Coturnix japonica: one gene and its partners. The protein of the gene in region 1 purifies or fractionates together with the protein of each later gene. This does not show direct contact. Links are inferred from orthologs where the notes say so. Each region holds a gene or a part of one and is shown on either strand. Other genes may lie near its edges.

Evidence for each region.
Region 2: the proteins of PFDN2 (region 1) and POLR3B purify together in Homo sapiens (affinity purification with mass spectrometry; 3 studies listed by BioGRID and IntAct, with this or other methods). This does not show direct contact. The link is inferred for Coturnix japonica from reciprocal best matches to the Homo sapiens genes PFDN2 and POLR3B.
Region 3: the proteins of PFDN2 (region 1) and PFDN1 purify together in Homo sapiens (affinity purification with mass spectrometry; 5 studies listed by BioGRID and IntAct, counting the BioPlex papers as one, with this or other methods). This does not show direct contact. The link is inferred for Coturnix japonica from reciprocal best matches to the Homo sapiens genes PFDN2 and PFDN1.

The regions. Positions count from the first base shown.
Region 1 is NC_029540.1:2,483,305-2,487,819, reverse strand, and holds PFDN2 (prefoldin subunit 2), read right to left. Parts: upstream 3,186-4,515; coding exon 3,114-3,185; intron 2,987-3,113; coding exon 2,925-2,986; intron 707-2,924; coding exon 583-706; intron 499-582; coding exon 325-498; 3' UTR 27-324; downstream 1-26. UniProt on the Homo sapiens protein: Binds specifically to cytosolic chaperonin (c-CPN) and transfers target proteins to it. Binds to nascent polypeptide chain and promotes folding in an environment in which there are many competing pathways for nonnative proteins.
Region 2 is NC_029516.1:49,236,834-49,241,453, reverse strand, and holds the start of POLR3B (DNA-directed RNA polymerase III subunit RPC2), read left to right. Parts: upstream 1-1,499; 5' UTR 1,500-1,560; coding exon 1,561-1,632; intron 1,633-1,942; coding exon 1,943-1,975; intron 1,976-2,649; coding exon 2,650-2,706; intron 2,707-2,788; coding exon 2,789-2,853; intron 2,854-3,336; coding exon 3,337-3,412; intron 3,413-4,620. UniProt on the Homo sapiens protein: Catalytic core component of RNA polymerase III (Pol III), a DNA-dependent RNA polymerase which synthesizes small non-coding RNAs using the four ribonucleoside triphosphates as substrates.
Region 3 is NC_029528.1:15,557,829-15,562,589, forward strand, and holds the start of PFDN1 (prefoldin subunit 1), read right to left. Parts: upstream 3,122-4,761; 5' UTR 3,030-3,121; coding exon 2,997-3,029; intron 2,825-2,996; coding exon 2,658-2,824; intron 1,897-2,657; coding exon 1,822-1,896; intron 1,701-1,821; exon of another isoform or gene 1,567-1,700; intron 1,535-1,566; exon of another isoform or gene 1-1,534. UniProt on the Homo sapiens protein: Binds specifically to cytosolic chaperonin (c-CPN) and transfers target proteins to it. Binds to nascent polypeptide chain and promotes folding in an environment in which there are many competing pathways for nonnative proteins.

The sequences.
Region 1 (4,515 bases):
AGAAACAGCACAAGATGGACACAGGATCCAAGCGGGGACAACGTCCTGGTGGCTTTTTGTCCCCTGCACCCCCAGCAGAAGTGACACCTTTGTGTGCCCCTCCCCCACAGCCCAGGGCACAGCAGGGACGTGGTGCAGGAAGGAGGCGGCCACCAGCAGCCATGGGGCAGCTCAAGGGCGTCCTCAAAGTGCCACCGCTATCACCGCCCTCAGTGCCACCTCCCAGGGCTCTGCCCCGTAACTAGAGAACACTTGTGACCCAAAATCCCCACATCTATTCAACAAAATCACTCAACGAGGGCAGGGGGCAGCAGGGGGACAAGGCTACGACACCAGGACGCCGGCAGTGCCGCCCTTGCCCCCCTCGGTGCCGTCCTTGGGGGGCTGCCGGGGGTCATCCTCGCCCACCAGGCGGATGTTGTGCTTCTCACGGAACTCGTTCAGCTCGCGGCCTTTGCTCTGCAGCTGCTGGCTCAACGACTCGATGATTTTGCTGATCTGGGAGGAGAGAGAGGAGGGGCTTTAGGGGCTTTATGGGAGGGAGCGGAGGGGTCTGTGGGTGCCGGGGGGGTTTGGAGTTACCTGCTCTCGGTTGCCCTCGAGTGCGGGCAGCACCTCCTTGACAGTGCGCTCCACCAGGATGCCCCCCACCATGCGGTAACACTTCCGTGTGGGATCCACCTCCCGCAGCGTCTCAATCACGAGGCTGTTGGGGGGGGGGGGGTCCGTCAGCCCCCGTCAACCCTGCAGCGCTCCCAGCGTTCAACCAGATCCCTCGTTTCATCACAGCGTCGCTCCCACCACTCCTCATATGTTTCCTCCTCCATCCAGGGAGGCCCCCCCCCCCATGCAAGCCCCGCCACACCCCAGTGTCAGCTCCTATCCTCCAACCAATACGCCCTCCACATCCTCCCCAAGTCACCCCCCCATACTCGATGACCCCCCCCCACATCCTCACTGTCCCCCCTCATATCCCCAACGTGCCCCGACACATCAGTGTCTCCTCATCCTGGTGTCCCTCACACACCCAGTGACACCCCAGCGTCCCCCCCCCCCCGTACTGTCCCCCCCCACCTTCCACACACCCATTTCCATCCCCCCACATCCCCCCCCCTTACAACGTCCCTCACACACCCATCCCACTGACACCCACACCCCCGCTGGTTCCCCCTATCCCAATGCCTCCCCCATTCACTGTTACCACCCCCCCTCCATATCCCTTTGCCAACCCCCATCTTTCTCCCAGCCCACGCCCTTACACCCCCATTACCCTCCCATTCCCTTCAGTATCCCCCCAAACCCATTCTGCTGCCCACCCCTCCTTGGTACCCAATGTCCTCCGTGCCCCCCCCCATTCCCTTGCTTGCCCCTATTCCATAAACGTCCCCCGTTTTTTTTTCCCCCCCTTTTTTTTTCCCCCCTCACCCATTTGCCCAGGTGCCCCCAACCACTGCTTACCCATATCCCCGTACCCCCAACATGTCCCCATACCCCCCCATGTCCCCACAACTGGGCCCCATTGTCCCCACACCCCATGTCCCCCACTCCACTGTCCCCACACCCCCCCCCATATCCCCGTACCCCTCATGTCCCCGGCTACCCCACCCAAAGACCCCATGTCCCCATACCCCCCCCCGTTCCCCATACCCCCCCATTGTCCCCACACCCCCCCCCCAATATCCCCGTACCCCCCCCATTGCCCCCCTAACCCCAAGTCCCCACACCCCCCATATCCCATACCCCCCATGTCCCCACAATCCCCCCAAGCTCCCGCTTACCCCCCATATCCCATACCGCGCGCCATGTCCCCACACACACCCCATGTCCCCAATGCCCTCCCATGTCCCCACACCCCTACTATTCCCCGCATGACCTCCTCCCATGTCTCATAATGCCAACATCCCCCACGCACCCCCCATTCTTGTTATACTTCTCCCATGTTCCCCGTACCCCCCATATCCCCATACCCCCCACGTCCCCACACCCCCATGTCCCCGTACCCCCCCCCATATCCCTGTAGCCTCCCATGTCCCCATACCCCCCCATATCCCTGTAGCCTCCCATGTCCCACACCCCCCATGACCCCAAATACCCTCCCCTAGTTGTTCCCCCCACACCCCCATGACCCATAACCCCCCTACTGGCCCCATGTCACCATAACCCATATCCCCGTACACCCCCCTCCCATGTCCCCATTAACCCCTCCCATGTCCCCATACACCCCCATATCACCGTTACTCCCCCCAATGTCCCCACACCCCCATGGACCCCATGTCTCCATACCCCCCCCCATATTCCATTACCCATGTAAACCCCTACCCCCATATCTCCACACCCCCATCCCCACATGCCTCCATGTCCCCACACCTCCCCATAGCCCCATACCCCCCATGTCCCTGTACCCCCCTCATATCCCCACACCCCCCCCATATCCCCACACCCTCCCCATGTCTCCCATTACACCCCCATACACATGTACCTCCCTCATGTCCCACACCCCCCCATGACCCCATGTCCCCATACCCCCCATATTTCCCTACCCCCATGTTCCCCCTTATAGCCCCCCATGTCCCCAGTCTCCATACCCCATATCCCATACCCCCCACGCCCCCCCATATCCCATACACCCCCATATCCCCGTACCGCCCCCATGACCCCCAACCCCCCATATCTCCACACCCCCCCAATATTCCCCCACCACGCCTCCCATGTCCCCACACCCCCCCCCCATATCCCGTACCCCCCCCATGCCCCTACACCCCTCCCGCGTGTCCCCACGCCCCCCCTATATCCACCACCCCATATTCCCCACACCCCATATCCCCACAACCCCCCCATAATCCCATAACCCCACATTCCCATCCCCCTAACCCCAGCCCCACCCCCCCCCCCCCCGTCCCGTTACCCCCCGATGTCCCCCCCACCCGTGTTCGTTGAGCTCCAGCTCAGCTCCGCCGCCTGTTGGGACGCCAGGCCGCCGCTGTTCCTGTCGTAAACCGGTTTGAACGAGCCAACCACCTGCTCAAACAACCACACAACCACAACCACCGGGGATGTCACCGCTGGGATCCCGGGATCGTCCCTCTGTCCGTCCCCAAACCCCGCCCCGCCACCTGTTCCGCCGTCCAGCGCCTTCCCGCCCGGCCCCGCTGCTCCGGGCCGCCCCTTTCGCGCTGTTCCGCCATTTTCCCCCTCCACCGTTTTTGCGTCTCTTCCGGCGCACACCGGAAACTGGGCAGCCTCTCTTCCGGCGCAGAGCGACAGCGAGTAAAGCTCTTCCGGTGTATACAGGAAACACCATGGAAGCCATCTTGGTTATGGCTCAAAACCCGGCAGCGGTGGCTATATGGTGAGGTAGTGCCGGCCGCCATCTTGTTGTGGCAGGGACTTTGCCCATTGACCCCTCATCTGTCACGCCTCCCGCCTCGGTGCGGGGCCGCGAGAACGATATTGTACGGGCCGGGGGGGGATACAGGGTTCTGGAGAAATCCTGTGGGCAATGGGAAGAGAGAATCAAAGTGGGCATTTAAGGGCAGTTGGAAGGTTATCATAATAGGGGGGTGATTTGAAGGTTGTTGGGGTTCTATGGGGTGTTTGAAGGGTGTTGGGGGTTCTATGGGGTTGTTTGAAGGGTGTTTAGGGGCGATGGCGAAGCAGTATGGGGGCGTTCATAGGGCAATGTGTGGCCAGTATGAGAGGGTTTAAGGGCAATGTCGGGGCAGTTATGGGAGGAGTTTGTAGCGGCAATCGTGAGGGTCATGTATATGGGGGTTCTATGCGGGCAATGTGGGGCAGTATGGAGGGTTCTATGGGCAATGTGGGGCAGTATGGAGGGTTCTAAAGGGCCAATAGTGGGGCCAGATATGGACGGGCATTAGGGCAATGGGGGCAGAAATGGAGGGTTTCTAAGGGAAGTGGGGCAGTATGGAGGGTTCTAAGGGCATGTGGGGCAGTATGGAGGGTTGTAAGGGCAATGTGGGGCAGTATGGAGGGTTCTAAGGGCAATGTGGGGCAGTATGGAGGTCTAAGGCAATGTGAGCAGGAATGGAGGCGGTTCTAAGGGGCAATGTGGGGCGGTATGAGGGTTCTAAGGGGCAATTGTGAGGGCAGTCACTGCTAGGTCTGTCAAGGGCAATGTGGGGCAGAATGAGAGGCGTTGTCAAGGGCCAATGTGGGGCACGAATGGGAGTGTTCTAAGGCAGGATGTGAGGCGCAGAATGAGGGTTCTAAGGGCAATGTGGGGCGAGGAATTGGAGGGTTCTAGAGTGGGCAATTGTGGGGCAGAATGGGATGAGTTTTGCTAAGAGGGCAATTGTTGGGGGCAGAATGGAGGGTTCTAAGGGCCAATGTGGGGCAGAAATGGAGGGCGTTTTCTAAGGGCAAGAGCCTGTGAAGAAGCAGTATGGAGGGTTTCTGAGGGCAATGTGGTACGCAGAAATGCGAGGGTTCCTAAGCCGCAACACAATGTGACGGCGAGTATGGAGGGTTCTATGTGAGCAATGTGGGGCCAGTATG
Region 2 (4,620 bases), on another chromosome or scaffold:
GGAAATTCGGTAAAGTCAATTTGGACTCTAGAAAATGGCCTAGTGGCCAAGGGTCTTCCCCCCATAGGCAGTTTTCTTTGTACGGCTCTGTTTATCTTTAAGCACGTAATACATCCTTGAGTAATATGTCTAGCTAAATTATGTAGGCCTATACACATGTACTTAGTGGCAAAATGATCTATTAAAGCTTGGCTTCCCCAGTGGGTCCGTTCGTGCAACTGGGTCAGCACCTGAGATGCTATTGACTTAGGCAGTACCTCTCTCCCGTCAGCTAAATACCACCTCCCTTCTGTGTTTTTAGTTATTCCCATTTGATTCAGTTTTTGTTCTTCCTTCGGTGTAAACGAAGGGGCCTCATCATGTGTCAATTCTTCCTGCCTCTCCTGCCTCAGGACCAATTCCCTGAGGGCAGCTTGCTTAGCTTCTAGGTCTGCTGCATTATTTCCTCTAGTCTTGTAATCGGTCCCCTGTTGGTGTCCTCTAAGGTGTACCACCGCTATCTTTTTGGTTTCGTAGGCCACTAAGAGTTGCTTTATTAATTCTTGATGTATTAAGTTCCTTGGAATTTATCAATCCCCTTTCTTCCCAAATCTTCCCAAAGGTATGTATTACCCAGCTAAACATATATTGGAATCGGTATAGATAGTGCCCTCTTTTCCCTGTAATCTTTTTAGTGCCTGTAAAACAGCATACAGCTCGCAAGCTTGAGCTGACCAAGTGTTACTCAAGGGTCCTGATTCCAATACCCGGAGGGTCTTTCCATCTACTATTGCATCCACGCCTTGCACACGCGCTCAGCAGGAGTCCAGGCATGAGAATGACTGAGCCAGGCTGTGCCTGTGCTGAAAGCTGAGCAGTGAGGGTGCCTCTGACACGGAGCATCGCTTGGTGACATCTCAGCCTGTAGCTCAGTGATGTCACTGACCAGCACTCAGCCACAGTGGTTTCCTGTCTCCTTTGCAGTATTCCTTTTCCTGGAGGCAGGAGACCTCTACCCCCACTAGCATTGGACCTGCGATTTGGCAGATGAGAGGCTCCTCAACAGCTCCCCCTGGTTTGGGAGGCTGTAGCGGACCCCAGCCACTAGTTGTCCTTTATTTGTCTAGGCTGCCTGCTCTCAACCAGGTGACAGGTGATCACCCCCACCTGTCACACAGACCCTAGCCCATACGCAGACCTCTCACCTGAGCACGTGTAGCCATGGAATTACAGAGTCTACAACATTGCCGTTGTATGGAAAGTACTGACCCATCAGTGTGAGGAGAAAACTGTGTGGACCCATCACCCAGGTTTGCGAACCTGAAATAAATAAGCGTTGTCTCTATTGTGCATGTGATGAGTGACTTGTTGCACATCGGGTGGCATCTGAAAAGAACGAGCGGGGCATTCAAGCGAGGCATGACTTGTTTGGGACGTTTGAGCGCTCGGAACAAGCCTTCAGCAGGGCGAGGCCGGGCCGCCTCGGAACTGTCCGTGCCCGGAACGTTAGTGCTCCGTGCGGAGGAGCAGGGGACGCGTTTGATTGTGGCACCACGTCCCTTATCGCCGGGTCCGGGTGGAATGGAGGAACTGGCGGCGGAGTTGGGCGCCCTGACGGCGGAGCAGGCGGCGGCCCCCGTGAACACGGTGGAGGTGAGGGCAGCGGCGTGGAGCACGGCGTGGAGCACGGCGTGGGGCATGGGGTGGTGGTTCTGCGGCAGTAGGGAACCCTGCAGGCGTCTGGGTGCTGCCCTGGGTCGGTGCTGCACAGCACGTGTGGCTGCTGAGTTGGTCCCAGTCATCCCTTAGGGGGGTTTCTGCTCGTCTGAGCTGACTTTGGGCAGTGTTTGATTCTTTTCTAAATGACGCGAAATGCAGCTGCTGTCACAAACCTTTATCAGCTGTCACAGATGTTCGGTCACCTTGTGGAAACCAACTTTTCCACTGTGTGTTTTGGTTGCAGGAGAAATGGAGGCTCCTACCCGCGTTCCTGAAGGTCAGTGCGATGCACCGCCCCGGGCGGGAACACCCCGAGCCCTTTGTGCTTCACAGTGTGTGTGGTGCAGTGCCGGCAGGTTGTTTAGGCTCCCATTGCACCACAAGGCCCTCCCCGTGGTCTTTATATCAACTCCCTATGGACGCTGCTGTTGAGTCTGCAGTTGTCCTTGTTGCGTTCTGCAGAGGCTGCAGTGTAAGGTTATCTCTGCTCACAACTATCAGAGGTTGGTTGAGCTCAGAAATTGCTTAATTTCAGTGTTACTCTCATAATCTGGTATGAGGTGAAGGCACAGCGTGCAGTCCCTGCAGCCTTTATTTTGTGGCAGCCTAGTAAGTGTGATCCTTGCAGGAAAACAGGGTTCTGTTGGTTTTATGATACTGCATATGAGCAACTGCTCTCTCTTCCTACCTAGAAATCAGATTTATTGTGAGAGTCTGTCCTGTCCTTCTGTGGCTGTTCCCTTCCTTATTGACTTCCTTGACACCCCACTTGTCTGCTCTCACTGACTTAGTGTGGAACCAGACAGATTGCCCAGGCAGCTCTAAGATATTTGTCCACTGAAAAAATGTAACAGTGGTTCAAAAGTGCTTATAAATGCTTATATTTCAATCTCTACCTTATTTCAGTGTTGTTAAAGCTGATGCTATTTGCTGCATACATGTATTTTCCAGGTGAAAGGACTTGTGAAGCAGCACATAGACTCATTCAACTATTTTATCAATGTGGAGGTATGTTTTCTTAGTGGGAAGGGACTGGCTGTTAGGAGTCAGATAAAAAGAAATGGTTCAGTTCTTCTTTTCTTTTTTTCAGATAAAGAAGATCATGAAAGCCAATGAAAAAGTGACAAGTGACGCTGATCCAATGTGGTACTTGAAGTAAGTATAAGGCTGGTTTTCCTAATGAGAATAGCTTGCATACAGTCACATGAGTTTGTTAGTGACTGTGAAGTGTTTACAAGCATCAGCCTGAGCATAAATGGAGCAAAGCTCTTGCATACTTTCCTCTCACTTGGACCACATACACATGGGTGCTTAAAGAATAGTCCTCATAAGTAGACTTAACTCTGTTGTTAACAGTGCCTTATGTCACTATCTTTCTGTAACTTAGCAGTTTCAGGTGAAGGAAATCTGTTTCCCTTCTTGCAAAGGTAATGTGGGTTTGTTTTTGTATGTGCAGCTTAAGTTTTAACTAAAACACTGTTCAAATACAGCAGGTTACTTTGGGATGAATCATTGCTAATTGTTAATCAACCTTCTTTCCCATGAAAGCAAATTCATTTTCTACTTATTGTAGAACTCCTTTTCCTTCAAGTTGCCTGAAAGACATTTGGCTCGTTTTGAGGTTGTTTTGTGTTACAGATACCTCAACATCTATGTGGGTACTCCAGATGTGGAAGAAAGTTTCAATGTGACACGACCTGTATCGCCTCATGAGGTACTGATATTTGTGTCTGTGAGGGGTTATTTGTTTGACCTTAGTAATGCCTTGGATAATTGCTGCATCTGATTTTACTTCAGGCACATGCATGCCTTGTTTCATGATACAACACATGCTACCATGCTTGTAAAAAGAAGCCTCATATTTAAACATGGCATAGTAAATCTTCCTTCTATTATTGCTCTGACGTGTGTTGTATTCAGTGTTTCATGGCAGCTACATTTTACGCTGTAGATCACTTCAGACCCAATCTTCTTTGGAAATACATCTCTTACAGCTTTTAAGTCTAAGTCAGATAGAGAGCAAACACATAACCTTTGAGCAGTTAGAAGTTGAAAATATTTTTCCCCATGTAATGTATGTGGTACACTTCCGACTTTCACAGAGATGTTCTGTGGTTGGGAGAGCTGCTGTAAAAAAGCCCTCTGCTGGTTGTTGTAACATTAAATCAGTGCATTTAAACGTGCACAAAATGAGATGAGAAAGATTCTCCATATGTGAATGAAATTGCACGTGAGAAATTGTGGCTAACAACTCAGGCCTAAGAATGCAGTAATCAAAATTCTTGTCTTGTGTTGTAAAGCAAGGTGATTGTACAAGCACAATGAAGGCAAAATAAATGCTTCAGGGAGCATATTCACCCTGAATTTGGAATAATCAACTCTTGTATCTCAAATCTTCTCACCGACGCTTATTGCTAGACATTGTTTATTTTTTCTTTCAGTGGGTTATAGTATGTTTTATGTGGACAAAGCACACACAAGGAATGCTGAAGCCTTGTTTTCCTCAGATAATACTGAGTGATCTAACTCTCCTTCTCACACAGTTCTTTTGTGAGTTTTGTCAACTGTTTGTACAGATGAATTTGAAGTAATTAGAAATGAATATGTTCTCAATTACTTTTAAATCCAACAAAGTTGCCAGGAGCACAGTGGGATCCCATTTCCTACAAGTCATAGTTTTATATTTGCTTGTACACATCAGTATTTTATTACTAGAGAAATTGTGGAGAGAAGTGGTAGCCAGTTTGCAGTGATTCTTGAGGCATGTTTTTCCCTACAGATACATCCTCAATGCACAGTACTATCTTAATTCCCTTATACTAAAGCATAATCAGTACACAGAAAAGCTGTATGGAACCGTAAGTTCAACCATCTGGATCCTGATAAATCTGCAGTTCTGGAGATCAAAGGTATAAAATGTGC
Region 3 (4,761 bases), on another chromosome or scaffold:
ACCCTGAAGCATAAAGGTGTGCTACAGCATTTGCTTGATTTTTACTTCTACAGCAAATGAGAGAAAACTAATGATAAAGCAACATCAAAACAAAATGGAACATCTATTTTGGCATGGCATGAAAAACTGCAGTGGTCTCCTCACTGTGCCCAGCATAAACCCCTGATGTTTTCCTTTGGTAAGTAAGAAGCTGGCCCAGGTCATTATTTAATGGAATGTGAAGGGAAAGGTCGGAAGCATTCAGACAAAATTCTGAAGCTTAAGCTTTCGGCATAGTTCTCAAAGCAGCACGATGATATCAGTTCACAAATAGCTTAAGCAGGAGTCCACCACAGTGGTAGTTGTCTCAGGCTAGATAACAAGCCTTTCAAAGAGCATGAAGTAAGAGAATGAAAATGTATTTGGCACGGTGCCACTACTCAGATGATATCCTAGTCAAACAGATATGTACAGTACACAGCAATTCATCACCTCATACTATGTGGCACTGACAATGGTTGTGTTAAACCAAAATTAGCTACAGTAAATGTTTAGGAACAACAAATGGGCTTTCACATTTGCCAGTGGCTCAGGGAAAGCCTCTTGGGCAGGAAGCAGGCTCTGGGCTCAGAGCAGGAACCACATAATTCTTTACAAGTAGCGCAGAAGTATGGAACTAGGTAGACTTCTTCCCAGGATACAGCACACCATCACATTCCTGAAACACTCCGTTTTCACAAAGTCCTGGAATAGCTCGTTCTACCCAAATAGAACTACTAATTTGAAAGGCAGACTTAAGCCCCATGGCCAAATCAGGCATAACTCACAGAAACACTGCAGTAAGCTAAGGAAGGGGAAATAAAAGTAAAATAAATCAGTGAATAAGTAGTTTGGAGAGCATGAGCACTCTTAACCTGAATTTGCATAGTGACTAGGACAACAGAACCCGCAAAGAGTTCACACTTCAAACATTTGAAGACTAATATCATGCAGATAGTATTTTTCTACCATCACTGAGGAGCAAAGTGCTGCACAGCAGAGTCTGAACCACCTGCCCGGTCACATGAAGGTAAGCAAGAGTACAGTCTCAAAAAGACTGGACTCCAGCAGCTGGGTTGAAAGCAGGACAGTACTTTTCAGTTAGCACAGAAACATTATCTCATTCACAACCAACATTTTACAATGAAGGCTGATATATTGATGCTTTCAAAGAATCTTGAGGAATTATTTCATAATGGAGAAGTATACCCTGCTTTAAGATTAAAGATAAAAAAATAAAAAAAAATTTGAAGAAAAATTGTTGCTTCCAGAATCTCTTAGTTTGTCTTTTCTGTGACAAAAACAATGAGCCTACAGCCTGCCTGGGTCATATCAGCTATCTCCTGCAAGAGATCTGCAAATTCTATCTCCTTTCAACATCATCAGCAGCTCCACACAAACCCAAGTTCATCTGCTTGGAAAACTTAACAGGAGTAATTCCACAGTGGTCCAAAGAAGGCTGTCACGCTACACACCCCCCCATCAAAATCACAGAGTAGCTTCAGTTGGAAAGGACCTAGAGACCACTGAGCTTCAGTTGGGAAGGACCTAGAGACCACTGAGCTTCAGTTGGGAAGGACCTAGAGACCACTGAGCTTCAACCCTCTGCGGCAGGCAGGGCTGCCAAATACTAGATCAGGCTGCCCAGGATGAACCCAGGCACAGCTTCATTTTCCCATTGGTCTTACCTGACAACTACCAGTGAAGCGCAGTCCACATACCAGTCCTGGCTTCCCAGCCCGCAGCTCCCTAAGACTCACCCAACAGATTGTGTGATGACATGAATCAGGCCCAGGAACTCACCGCAACAGCAGGCTGAACCAGCTACAAGTCTGCTGCAGCACAAAGGAGAGTTGGGAGCGGGGAGATGCAATCGCCCTGTGGGCAGCAATCAAATCAGATTCAACCTTCTATAAAACATCATCCCTGAATAAGCGTAATCATCACTGTTGCCCAGTTCACAATGGAAGAGAAAAAGCACACACAGAAAGTTAGCACGGCACAGTGAGTCAGCACACACGTCAGACTGGAACCCAGTTTGTGTGTTGCACTTCATGAGGCTGCTGCAGTCAGAGCTGCGCTGCCAGAATAACCCAGGTGCATCACTGCAGGTGTGAGGTGTGAGACACCACCCAGCGCGGGCAGGCGGCTCCTCGAGTGCGCATCAGCCTCGTGCTCACTTCCAAATGCTGAGGCACGTGGACACCACCAGCCCGACACACACTCGCTGGTGCTGCCCAGGGCACCGTGCCCGGGTGCACACCGATGCTCCGGGTGCACACCGATACTCCGGGTGCACACCGATACTCCGGGTGCACACCGATGCTCCGGGTGCACACCGATACTCCGGGTGCACACTGATGCTCCGGGTGCACACCGATACTCCGGGTGCACACCGATACTCCGGGTGCACACCGATGCTCCGGGTGCACACCGATGCTCCGGGTGCACACCGATGCTCCGGGTGCACACCGATGCTCCGGGTGCACACCGATGCTCCGGGTGCACACTGATGCTCCGGGTGCACACCGATACTCCGGGTGCACACCGATACTCCGGGTGCACACTGATGCTCCCCCGATGCTCCTCGTGGAGCCCAGCATCCCTGCTTCTGCAGGGACGGTGCGGCCGCTACTCACATCCTGCCCACGCCCTCGTACATGCGCGTCTCGTCCACCAGCGTCATGATCTCGGTGTCGGTGAGGTGCGCGTGCTTCTTGCTCTTGCTGAGCTGCTCGATCTGGATGTCGGCGAGCTTCACCTTCTGCTGCGTGTCGATCACCTTGGCCTGCAGCTCCGTGAAGGCCTGTGGTGGCAGAGCGGCACGTCGAGCGGCTGCGGCCGGGCCGGGGGCAGAGGGGCGGGGGGCGCCCGGCCGGGCCGAGCCGGCCCAAACTGCGGGGAGAGGAGGGGGAGGAGGGGGAGGAGGGGGAGCAGCGGCCCGAGAAACACGTCGGACGGAGCCGGACACCCGTTACCTTCTTCAGCTCCAAGTCAACGGGCGCCGCCATCTTCCCCACGCTCGGCGCCTGCGCAGTGGGGGCGGTGGGAGGGCGGGGCGGAGCGGGCTGCGGCCGAATGGAGGTTAGAGCGGGGTGGGGTGGGAGGGGGCCGAGGAGCAGCAGGTTCCAGCCCACCGACCTCCATATCTGATACATGGCACAGGGCTCCATCCAGCCCGGCCTTGAACACAGCCAGGGATGGGGCATCCACAGCCCCTCCGTGCAGCCTGTGCCAGCACCTCCCCGCTCTATGTGTAGAACTTCCCCCAACATCCAGCCTAAACCTTCCCTCCTTGGGCTTAAAACCTTTCCCCCTTGTCCTATCACTGTCCACACCAGTAAAAAACTGATTCCTCTCCTGTTTATTATCCCCTTTTAAATGCTGGAAGGCTGCAATGATGTCACCCCACAGCCTTCTCTTCTCTAGGCTGAACAAGCCTGGCTCCCTCAGCCTGCCTTCATCGGGGAGGTGCTCAGCCCTCACAGCATCCCACCAATGCTCCTCTGGGGGGAATGGAACCACCCGCGGGGCTGTGGCTGTTCCCAAAGGGAGGCAGCACTGCAGCTTTGGGGTTTCTCCTTGGCTGCCTCCCTCAGAAGCGCAGGCCGAGCTCCGCTCCTGCAGTGCTGCAGCTCTTCTGCTCCATGCAGATCATGGCTGTGAGGTGAGCAATGGTGGCACTGCACTGCACCAACACTTGGTTATCAAACAGGCTGCTGTAACACACTGTGTTGGTTTGGATTTGGTTTTAAATTAAATCCAAAGATTCTGCCTGCCTACGAGCCTTGCTCTGGAGAACAGCCGGTGTTCGTGGAGGAGGAGGTGTGCTGCAGGTTGCAGGGCTCAGTGCTGGGGCACAAGGAGTGTCAGCAGTGGGATGGAGCACTCGAGGGAGGCAGGCTGGGTGGCAGGGCTCAGTGCCTTGCTCCAGGCCCCTGCTGGGCACTGGATTTAGATTGCAGTGGCTGAACTCAAGGTGGCTTTGCTTCACCCAAGCATTGCAGCCATTCATGAGCCAGCCGAGATACAAGAACACGCGGGGCTGCCACAGCTGCAGGTTCCAGGGCAAGGAGCAGGGCAGACCACACCCCAGCTCCCCATAACCCTCCCCCCTCCAGGGAGTACCCCAGCAGGATTATCCCTGCTGCACCCCAAGGCCAGCAGGCTTGAGATCTGTGCCGCTGCTCCACAGATGCTCCTGGGTAGTTTTAGTACCCCACCATAAAGGGCAAGTTGTTATCTGTACCCTTTGGAGACCTGACCCACATCTCTTAAATCAACAACTCACGTGTTTGTTACAAAGTTATTTATTAGAATATTACATTGCACTTAAAAAATAAAGGAGGTCTGACCCACACAAGGGTCATCTTGAGTTACACAAAGGGTACAGAGGCAGACCTCCAATAAATATAAATACTATGTACAATTTATCTAAAATAAATATATAATTTAAAAGGAACATTCTCTTGTTAAATAGCTGTTACCCTCCCACCCCTCCTGTGCCCACGGAAGCCTCGAGCCTGCTCTCCCAGCCTTTCACAGTTCGTCCCCTTGCATACACTGCAGGGGCTGCCCCAAGCTGCTGGAGAGTCCCATGCAGCCGGCTTGGCTCAGAGCCTGCACGAGAGCATCGCTCCCAGCCCCCTCCATCTGGAGGCCACCAAAGCTCCCTCCAGAGGCACAGCTGCCAGGTAAACCCTGATGCAGCCTCATCCTGCTGCACTTCAGGGTCCCAGGGAC